Linked DNA regions of Saccharomyces cerevisiae S288C. The protein of the gene in region 1 interacts with the protein of each later gene in a biochemical or structural test. Each region holds a gene or a part of one and is shown on either strand. Other genes may lie near its edges.

Region 1 (4,763 bases):
GTTCGCAAAATGTCTTATTTCGCAGAGATCAATTTTGAAACCCTAAGAACAAGTTCTCCACCATTTATTCCTCAATTAGATGATGAAACGGATGCAGGTTATTTCGATGACTTCACAAATGAAGAAGATATGGCTAAATATGCAGATGTCTTCAAAAGACAGAACAAATTATCTGCAATGGTCGATGACTCTGCCGTTGATTCCAAGCTTGTTGGATTTACTTTTAGGCATAGAGATGGAAAACAAGGTTCAAGCGGGATACTTTACAATGGTTCAGAACATTCAGACCCTTTTTCAACTTTTTATTAAGATTACGTCCCTACAATTTAATTTTGTATAGCATAACAGATACATTGACAACAGCAACAAGATGTGCTAACATTTTCCATTTTGAATGATTACCAAAATTATGAAACCAAGGCAACATGTAATTTTTAAGTTTAGTAATCTTTTTCGGGATGAGATGTTTTGAAGAGTTTTATGCTATTAAAGTAGTAATATGATTTATATATTCAAATAAAATGTAAATTATGAAAGAAAAATACGATAAGCTGATAGGGTAAACTAGAAACCTTCGTTTTCTTCATCATCCACATCCAGTTTCTTTCTACCGCCCCCATTTCTTAAGGCAGCCATCTCATTAGTGGCAACTTGCTTTCTAACCTTCTTTGTCATCCTGGCTATCTCTTCTTCAGCGTCAACTGCATCTTCTTCTGCATATTGCATTACCAATCTGCGGCCCAGTAAATGGACACCGTGCAACTGATCCATAGCATTTTCTGCTTCCTTTGGAAGTAAAAATTCCACGAACGCAAAACCTCTTGCAGACTTGTCGAACTTCTTTGGAACTCTAACAGATTTTAATTGACCAAAAGAATTGAATAATTCGAAAACGTCTTTCCTAGTAGCTTCAAATGGAAGATTCTTAACAATGATTTTACCGCTTTTCTTATTGGATTTAGTCTTTGTATTACCGCTCTGAGATGCTTGTCTATGGGATAACTTCAATTGAATCTTATGGCCGTCGATTACCGTCCCATCCATTGCAGCTATCACGGCATTAGCTTGTTCCTTGGTCCTGAATTCTACAAAACCAAACCCCATTGACAAGGTCTTGCCTTGATGTTTTGGATCAGGTTTTGTCTTCACTTGGGCAACAACAAAACCAGTGAAAACCTTGAACCTATCAGTAAGATTTTGGTTCGTCGTGGAGAAGTTTAGATTCTTTATGAAAATTGAGACAGTTGGACCATCAATAACGTCTTCATCATGAGCATTAGATGACCCTTCAGTTACATCCTTGTTTGCTTCCATTAAGTCATTTGATGAAGGTTTTACCTCTACCGGGTTTTCTTCTTCTTTTGCAGAAGTGTTATTTATCAAATCATCGGCCTCAGCTGGTTTAGTAAAGCAATCCTTAGGCCCCCTTTCTAGATATATTATGCCGTCCTTAAATCTTTTATACGATAGTTTAGTGAAAGCTGCCCTTGCTGACGTTGTGTCCCTGAATTGCACTATAGCTATTGTACCAGCTGGTGGCATGAGCAATCTTTCCAATTTACCATATGGCAAAAACATTTCGCCAAGCTCTTCTCTAGTTGTCCCAAAAGGAAAATTTTTAACCAGTATCACTTTATCGTCTCTTTGATTTGTAGATTTTAACTGTGAAAACTTGGTCAGATCAACACCTTTGGATTCAAAGTATTTTCTAACATCACCAATAACATGGGCTTCAGCCAAAGCTTGTTTGACAGCCGAACTTGAGTTTTCAGCATCGATCAATTGAGATTTTTCTAGACCCAATTTGGCTGCCACACTACCCAAAACAGCATCTTGGTTCATATACAAGGAGTTCCAAGAAAATGTTTGTCTGGATGCAGCTGCCTTCCTTTTCAATTCCTTTTGCTTTTTCAATGGCATATTCTTTAAATCAAACTCATCTAATCTATGGCTTTTTTTTTCTTCACCAGGAAGAATATGCAATAGTCTTCCTTGAAAAATCTGTTTATCCAATTCAACATAGGCGTTCACTGCATTCTTAGAATCCTTAAATAGAACGTATGCAAATCCTTTGGATTGACCAGTCCTGGTATCCAAAGCCACATGAACCTCCTCTAACTCTCCAAATGGACTAAATAGTTTCCTGAAATCTTCTTCTTTGGAGGTATACAAGATATTACGTAAGAATAAACGGCCAGTTTGGTTAATTTTTTCAATAGCCAGTTCTTCGTCCGTCTTTTGCGGCACAGCACGTTCTGGTTGTTCTTCCTTCTTGGTATCGAGACTTTCATTTTGTTCAGTAGCGTATGATGATGATTTTTCCCTTGTTTCCGCTTCACTTTCTTTGATTCTTACACGGCGTTGTTTGAACCAATCTAGGTCAGAAACCTTTTCATCTTGGGCGAGGTTTCTCCTCTTTTCATTCTCTTTTTCATCACTATTAGCGTCATCATTAACTAAACCTATATCAGTATCCTTCAAATTGCTAATACTTATCATCTTTTCTTCCTCTCCGGCATCTTCTTGATCTTCATCCCTGTTTCTGTTGAGAGCCGAATATTCATCGTCACTTTCATTCTCAATGACCAAATTTGGTGCTTCGTCTTTATTATTCTCTTCCTTTAAGGCTAATGCATGAGCCAATAGAGAATTCCCTTGCACGCTGGAGTCCTCTTCTTCCCGTTTTAGTTTTTCGTCCTCTATGCTCTTGTCAATGCCAACTTTTTCCCATGATGTGACTTGTGAGCTTGGCTTCATAGTCTCCATGAACTCTTGTAATTGCTTGTTCTTGCGAATCTCGTCATCAATGTTGCTGTGCTTATTTTCATCCACTTTCTTTTTCTTTCGATTTTCTTCTTGTAGCAATTTTTCTTCCTTTTCCCTAAACCTTTTCAGAGCTTCTCTTCTCTTCTCCTTCATGGGCTGCGGGACTCTTGGGTCTGCAAAGCTTTTAGCCATGGACACTTCTATCTTAGAAGTGTTGATAAAACTGCCATTGAAATACTCTACAGCATCAAAAGCGTCTTCCTCGTTACGGTATCCGATAAATCCAAATCTTCTACTTTCTCCGTTCCTATCTCTAAGAATTTTAACATCTGTTATGAGGTCTGGACCACTACCATTAACTGCTTGATGGGAATGTTTTTGACGTAATCTTTTTGTAAAATGCTCCCTGAGATTATCATCTGTTAGATAGACGGGCAAACCCTTGACAATGATACGGGACATGTTAGTTATGTTATCTTGTGCTTGAGGCTCAAATTAAATCTCAGTTCAGGTTGCAGTCTTTGCATATGAAGTACCGATGAGATGAGATGAGATGAGCTCTAAATTTCCATAAAATTTTTTCATTTTATAAAATTCACGTCGCTCCGCACGTAAATCCCTATTACGGAAATTATTTCTCAATAGGGAAAGCCCCTCCTATTGTTTTTTCCGTCTCGAGGATTTTTCACTTTTAGTATATAAGTAAAACATAAAAAACATGAGAGGTGGTATGGTTTATTTGCCGTCACTGTGGAGCCTTCAAGTAATGTAAATAAGAGGGAAAGTGTGATAGTACAAGATGAGTTCGAATTCAACACCAGAAAAGGTTACTGCAGAACACGTTCTGTGGTATATTCCCAATAAGATCGGTTATGTTCGTGTTATCACCGCCGCCCTTTCTTTTTTCGTTATGAAGAATCATCCTACGGCCTTTACATGGTTGTATAGTACATCATGTCTACTGGATGCGCTAGACGGAACCATGGCAAGAAAGTACAATCAGGTTTCCAGTCTGGGTGCCGTTCTGGACATGGTTACCGACAGATCCAGTACCGCTGGCTTGATGTGTTTCCTTTGTGTGCAGTATCCCCAATGGTGCGTTTTCTTCCAATTAATGCTGGGCTTGGATATTACTAGTCACTACATGCATATGTATGCCAGTTTAAGTGCTGGTAAGACTTCTCATAAAAGTGTGGGCGAGGGTGAGTCCAGATTGTTACACCTGTACTACACGAGAAGAGACGTACTGTTCACTATCTGTGCGTTTAACGAACTATTTTATGCTGGATTGTACTTGCAGTTGTTCTCAAATTCTGCAACCTTTGGTAAATGGACTACAATCATAAGTTTCCCTGGTTACGTGTTCAAGCAGACCGCAAACGTTGTCCAGCTAAAAAGGGCAGCCTTGATTTTAGCAGACAACGATGCCAAGAATGCCAACGAGAAGAACAAGACTTACTGATAGGATGAGTTTCTTACTTTTTTTCTCCTTTTAATTGCGCTAATCTTTTATTTATGTGTAGTTTTTATTTATGTGAAATGGAACATTCGTTGATTTAACTTTAAAAGCAGCCTACTCTATCGTCTTGATTATACTTGGCACAACAAATGCTCAAATAAACGAAAAATTTCATATTGTTGGTACTTTTTCTCAACGCGGTTTTTTTCCTGTTTTTTTCGAGCAGTTCCCGAGGGCATATTTAACATAAGCCAAGGAGAGAGAAAAAACGTTTGTTGGACAGATCAAAAAGAAAAAGAAGAAGACCTCTCCTCTATCTCAAGCTTCTGCCCCCCCCCCCGGAAGGAATTCAAGCACGAAGGTGAACATTGCCTACAAGAAAAAATGGATGTTTTATTGTCGCTTCCTCAACCGGAATTATTTAAGACCACGGTGATTCCGTTCTTGGCAAATCGCAATATAATCAAGTCGGAAGCGATTCTCTCCAACTTGCACTCAATTTTTTATGTTGCTATATTCTACCATATTTGGTTTCTTT
Region 2 (3,346 bases), on another chromosome or scaffold:
ATGGAAATATGGCCAAGGGAATAAATGACAGAATTATGACGTTGTCAACTGCGCTGAACGAATTGGTGCAAATAACCGCACTATTTAATACCCTAGAACCTTTTAGGAAGAATGCACATGACCGTGCTAAGCGTTACTATGTAAGTGCTACAAGTAGTACCGGATGCTACGAATCGGTAATGAAGAGCATGTATTCCGGAAAATGTGCAGCTAGTAACGCCTCAAACGTTGCGCCATCGGAGGAAGAAAACAAAAAGATATTGAAAAAGTTTGCCGACATAGGTTGGAAATTGATGGATGATTCAGAATTGGGTTGTTGCTGTTGCTTCTTTAACTAATATTCATGATAACAAGGTGAAAAATAGCATCCTAATGAAGGATAGATAAGTAGATTTTTTCTTTTAAAAACTATAGTACAAGGACATGCAAAGTCATATATCTAAACTAATTTTGGTACACGACCAACAAAAAAGGGTAACAAAGTACACATATTCGCGTCAATAATATGAACAAGTTTGTTTATTTGCTTTTCAAATTTTTTTCTTTCTCCAGCAAACAAAAGTCTTAATGCATTAAATAAGAACCTTCGTTTTTTCTGCTTCTTGAATTACCGTCGATGCCATTCGATTCGAACTTGTAAGAAATTTTGATATTTAGATCTCTGTTATTCTTCTCGTTTGGAGAGCAAACCAATTCACCTTCAATGGTGTCACCAGTTTCAGCATCTAGATCATCAGGGAAATAAAATATTGTTTGCTTCCAGTGAGTGTATGGAGCATGAGGACCAGTGGAGAACTCAACAGGTCTCTTACCCTTTGGTGCAGGGAAAACAATGTCGAACCAGGTGACTATACCATTAATCATATCTTGTCTCTTGGCCGTCAATTTAAAGTTACTCTTAAACGCTAGATCTGATATTTTTACTGTATTTAAATCAAATTCGATCAATTTGTCTGAGGTGGTGTTGACATTGTTTCTTTCCACGGTGTCGACGATGGGCTCGTGTAAGACCAACGGAACAAATGGCGAATAATCAAACCCGTAAACGTCTTGCCAGTAGTTCAACTTCTCGTCTTTATACTGAGAGTCTTCCAAACCGGCCAAATGAATGGAGCACTTGTCGGGAAAGATCAGACCGCCTTCTACCAAATAGTGGTCTCTAGCGTAAAGAACGGTGTCCATCATGGACTCGTATAGTAGAAAGTAACCCATCCATTCAGAAATTATGATGTCAACTTTAGGAAAGGGTAAATGAACGTCCTCCAACTTGCCTCTTAGCAAGGTGATCTTGTCGCTGAATCCGTTCAACTCTACCAATTCCTTCGCCATCTCAATAATGCTTGACATATCAACACCGATAACATGCTTCGCACCGTGTTTAGCGGCAAACATGGATAAAATACCGGTACCGCAACCGACGTCTAAAACAATCTTGTCCTTAAAAAGATCCTTATTTTGGATAATTGCGTTTCTGTAAGATAAGGTACGAACAGTATCTTGAAGCATCTCTTCGTGAATACCATAGTGATCGTACGAATTGAAGTAGTGCTGTTCGCTTTCACTTAGCTTGGTTTTTTCTGTAGCAGAATCTTTCACGGCTGTCTTGCTCATTATTTTCTTTGGATGAATTTGTCGGTTCTAACTCTTTTTTGGAAACGGCAAGGTGAGCAGTAGGCAGCTCATCTCTTCAACTATTTTTATAACATATAATTTCCCTTTGTGAAAAAATTTTCCCGCCATTTCCAAATTTCGGAATTCCTTTTTCTTTTTTTTCATCTCGGTATATTCTGACATATTACCCTATAGGCGGTATAAAAAGATTCATTATACAGTATAAAATAGAAAATGAGAGAATTATATGGTGTTAAATAGATCCTACATTGAATTTTTCATTAACAGTCCCTCATGGGGCTAGTCTAACGACTTTCCATGGATCGTTTTCTGTTTTTCTTCTGTAAACGAATCTATCATGCAATCTCGAGGGTCTACCTTGCCAGAACTCAATTTCCAGTGGAACGATTCTCAAGCCACCCCAATAATCTGGACATGGGATGTCTTCAGCATCCTTGAAACGTTCGGTGTTTTTTTGGGTCAACTCGTCTAGTTCTTCTCTGTTCTTGATAACATCCGATTGGCGGGAAGCCCATGCACCGATCTTGGATCCACGAGGTCTCGTCTTAAAGTATCTTTCAGAAGTTTCTCTGTTAACATGCTCTGTGATACCTTCAACTCTCACCTGCCTTTGCAGATCCTTCCAAAAGAATACGATTGCCGCATTCGGGTTGGTAGCAATATCATGAGCCTTTCTAGAGGTTCCCCAGTTAGAATAAATAGTAAAACCTCTATGGTCGAGCTCCTTAAAAAGAAGAATCCTGGACGACACCCTCCCACTAGGTAGTTCCGCGGATGAAAAAGTAATTGCTTCTGGCAACGTTTCCCTTGGGTCTTCCTTGGCTTCGTTGAACCATTTGGTGAAAAGATCGATTGGGTCGTCAGTAAGTTGTTTTTCATTCAAAGTAAATTTATCATATTGATACGTCTCAGGAGCAAATATGATTGGCTTTTGGGTCTCCTCAGCTTGTTTAGTCATTTTCAGTGCAGATCCGTGAAGTGTACTACTGGTCTAGGTAGAGTATCTTTAAAATATCTAATCATGCAAATTAGTCATTTCTTCTTTCTTATAAGTTGCGGCCCCTTCTAGTATTTACAATTTACCCGGCGCTGGTTCTGGTGGCATCTATAAGAGCTCTATCTGGCTGCTAAGCAGACTTGCTGTTACTTGTATGTGCTGTTTATCAAGATTGGGGCATTACGCATGTGTATGTGTGAACTACAGTAGTGTTATGAAATACAGCCTGAAAGACGAAAACTTCACAACGGAACTTAAGCGGTTCAATAAACATCTATCTGCCAGCTTAGAGAGACTACCCGTGGTAGAGAAAGACACGGGCAGCCAAAAATACTGGGTGTTGTATATTTACTTGTGTTAGTTTATAAATAAATTTTATATCACTATATGTGTGGTGAAAAGGAAGAGCAATCCTGCTAAAGCTTTTATATCTAAACGCCAAAAAAATAAAAAAAAAAGGAAATGGGAGAAAAGTTTTCAGCGCGCGAACTCGCGAAAAAACTTCCTCTTTAGCAATGGTGACATATAGATCTCAAGGTTCTCAATTAAAAGACCTTCTTTGTAGCTTTTAGTGTGATTTTTCTGGTTTGAGAATAAAACTAGAGAGGAAGATAGGTACCCTATGAAAATGTCAATGGCTGTTGCGTTTGCTTAATCGTATTTTTTTTTTTTTCAGTCCGTGTTTTTTGTACATTCTACGTTTGAGTTTTCCATCAT

Evidence for each region. The genes of interacting proteins can lie anywhere in the genome.
Region 2: of the proteins of MRD1 (region 1) and HMT1, one has a biochemical effect on the other in vitro, tested with the Saccharomyces cerevisiae proteins (one study listed by BioGRID).

The regions. Positions count from the first base shown.
Region 1 is NC_001148.4:748,692-753,454, forward strand, and holds MRD1 (RNA-binding ribosome biosynthesis protein MRD1), read right to left. Parts: upstream 3,229-4,763; coding exon 565-3,228; downstream 1-564. Other genes in the region: serine/threonine-protein kinase DBF20, read left to right, coding at 1-309; PIS1 (CDP-diacylglycerol--inositol 3-phosphatidyltransferase), read left to right, coding at 3,566-4,228; ALE2 (Ale2p), read left to right, coding at 4,610-4,763. UniProt on the Saccharomyces cerevisiae protein: Involved in pre-rRNA processing. Required for maintaining steady-state levels of 40S ribosomal subunit. Required for the initial processing of pre-rRNA at the A0 to A2 sites, leading to the processing of the 23S pre-rRNA intermediate to the 18S rRNA.
Region 2 is NC_001134.8:304,366-307,711, forward strand, and holds HMT1 (protein-arginine omega-N methyltransferase HMT1), read right to left. Parts: upstream 1,612-3,346; coding exon 565-1,611; downstream 1-564. Other genes in the region: EDS1 (Eds1p), read left to right, coding at 1-338; pyridoxamine-phosphate oxidase PDX3, read right to left, coding at 1,904-2,590. UniProt on the Saccharomyces cerevisiae protein: S-adenosyl-L-methionine-dependent protein-arginine N-methyltransferase that catalyzes both the mono- and asymmetric (type I) dimethylation of the guanidino nitrogens of arginine residues in a variety of RNA-binding proteins such as heterogeneous nuclear ribonucleoproteins (hnRNPs) and small nuclear ribonucleoproteins (snRNPs).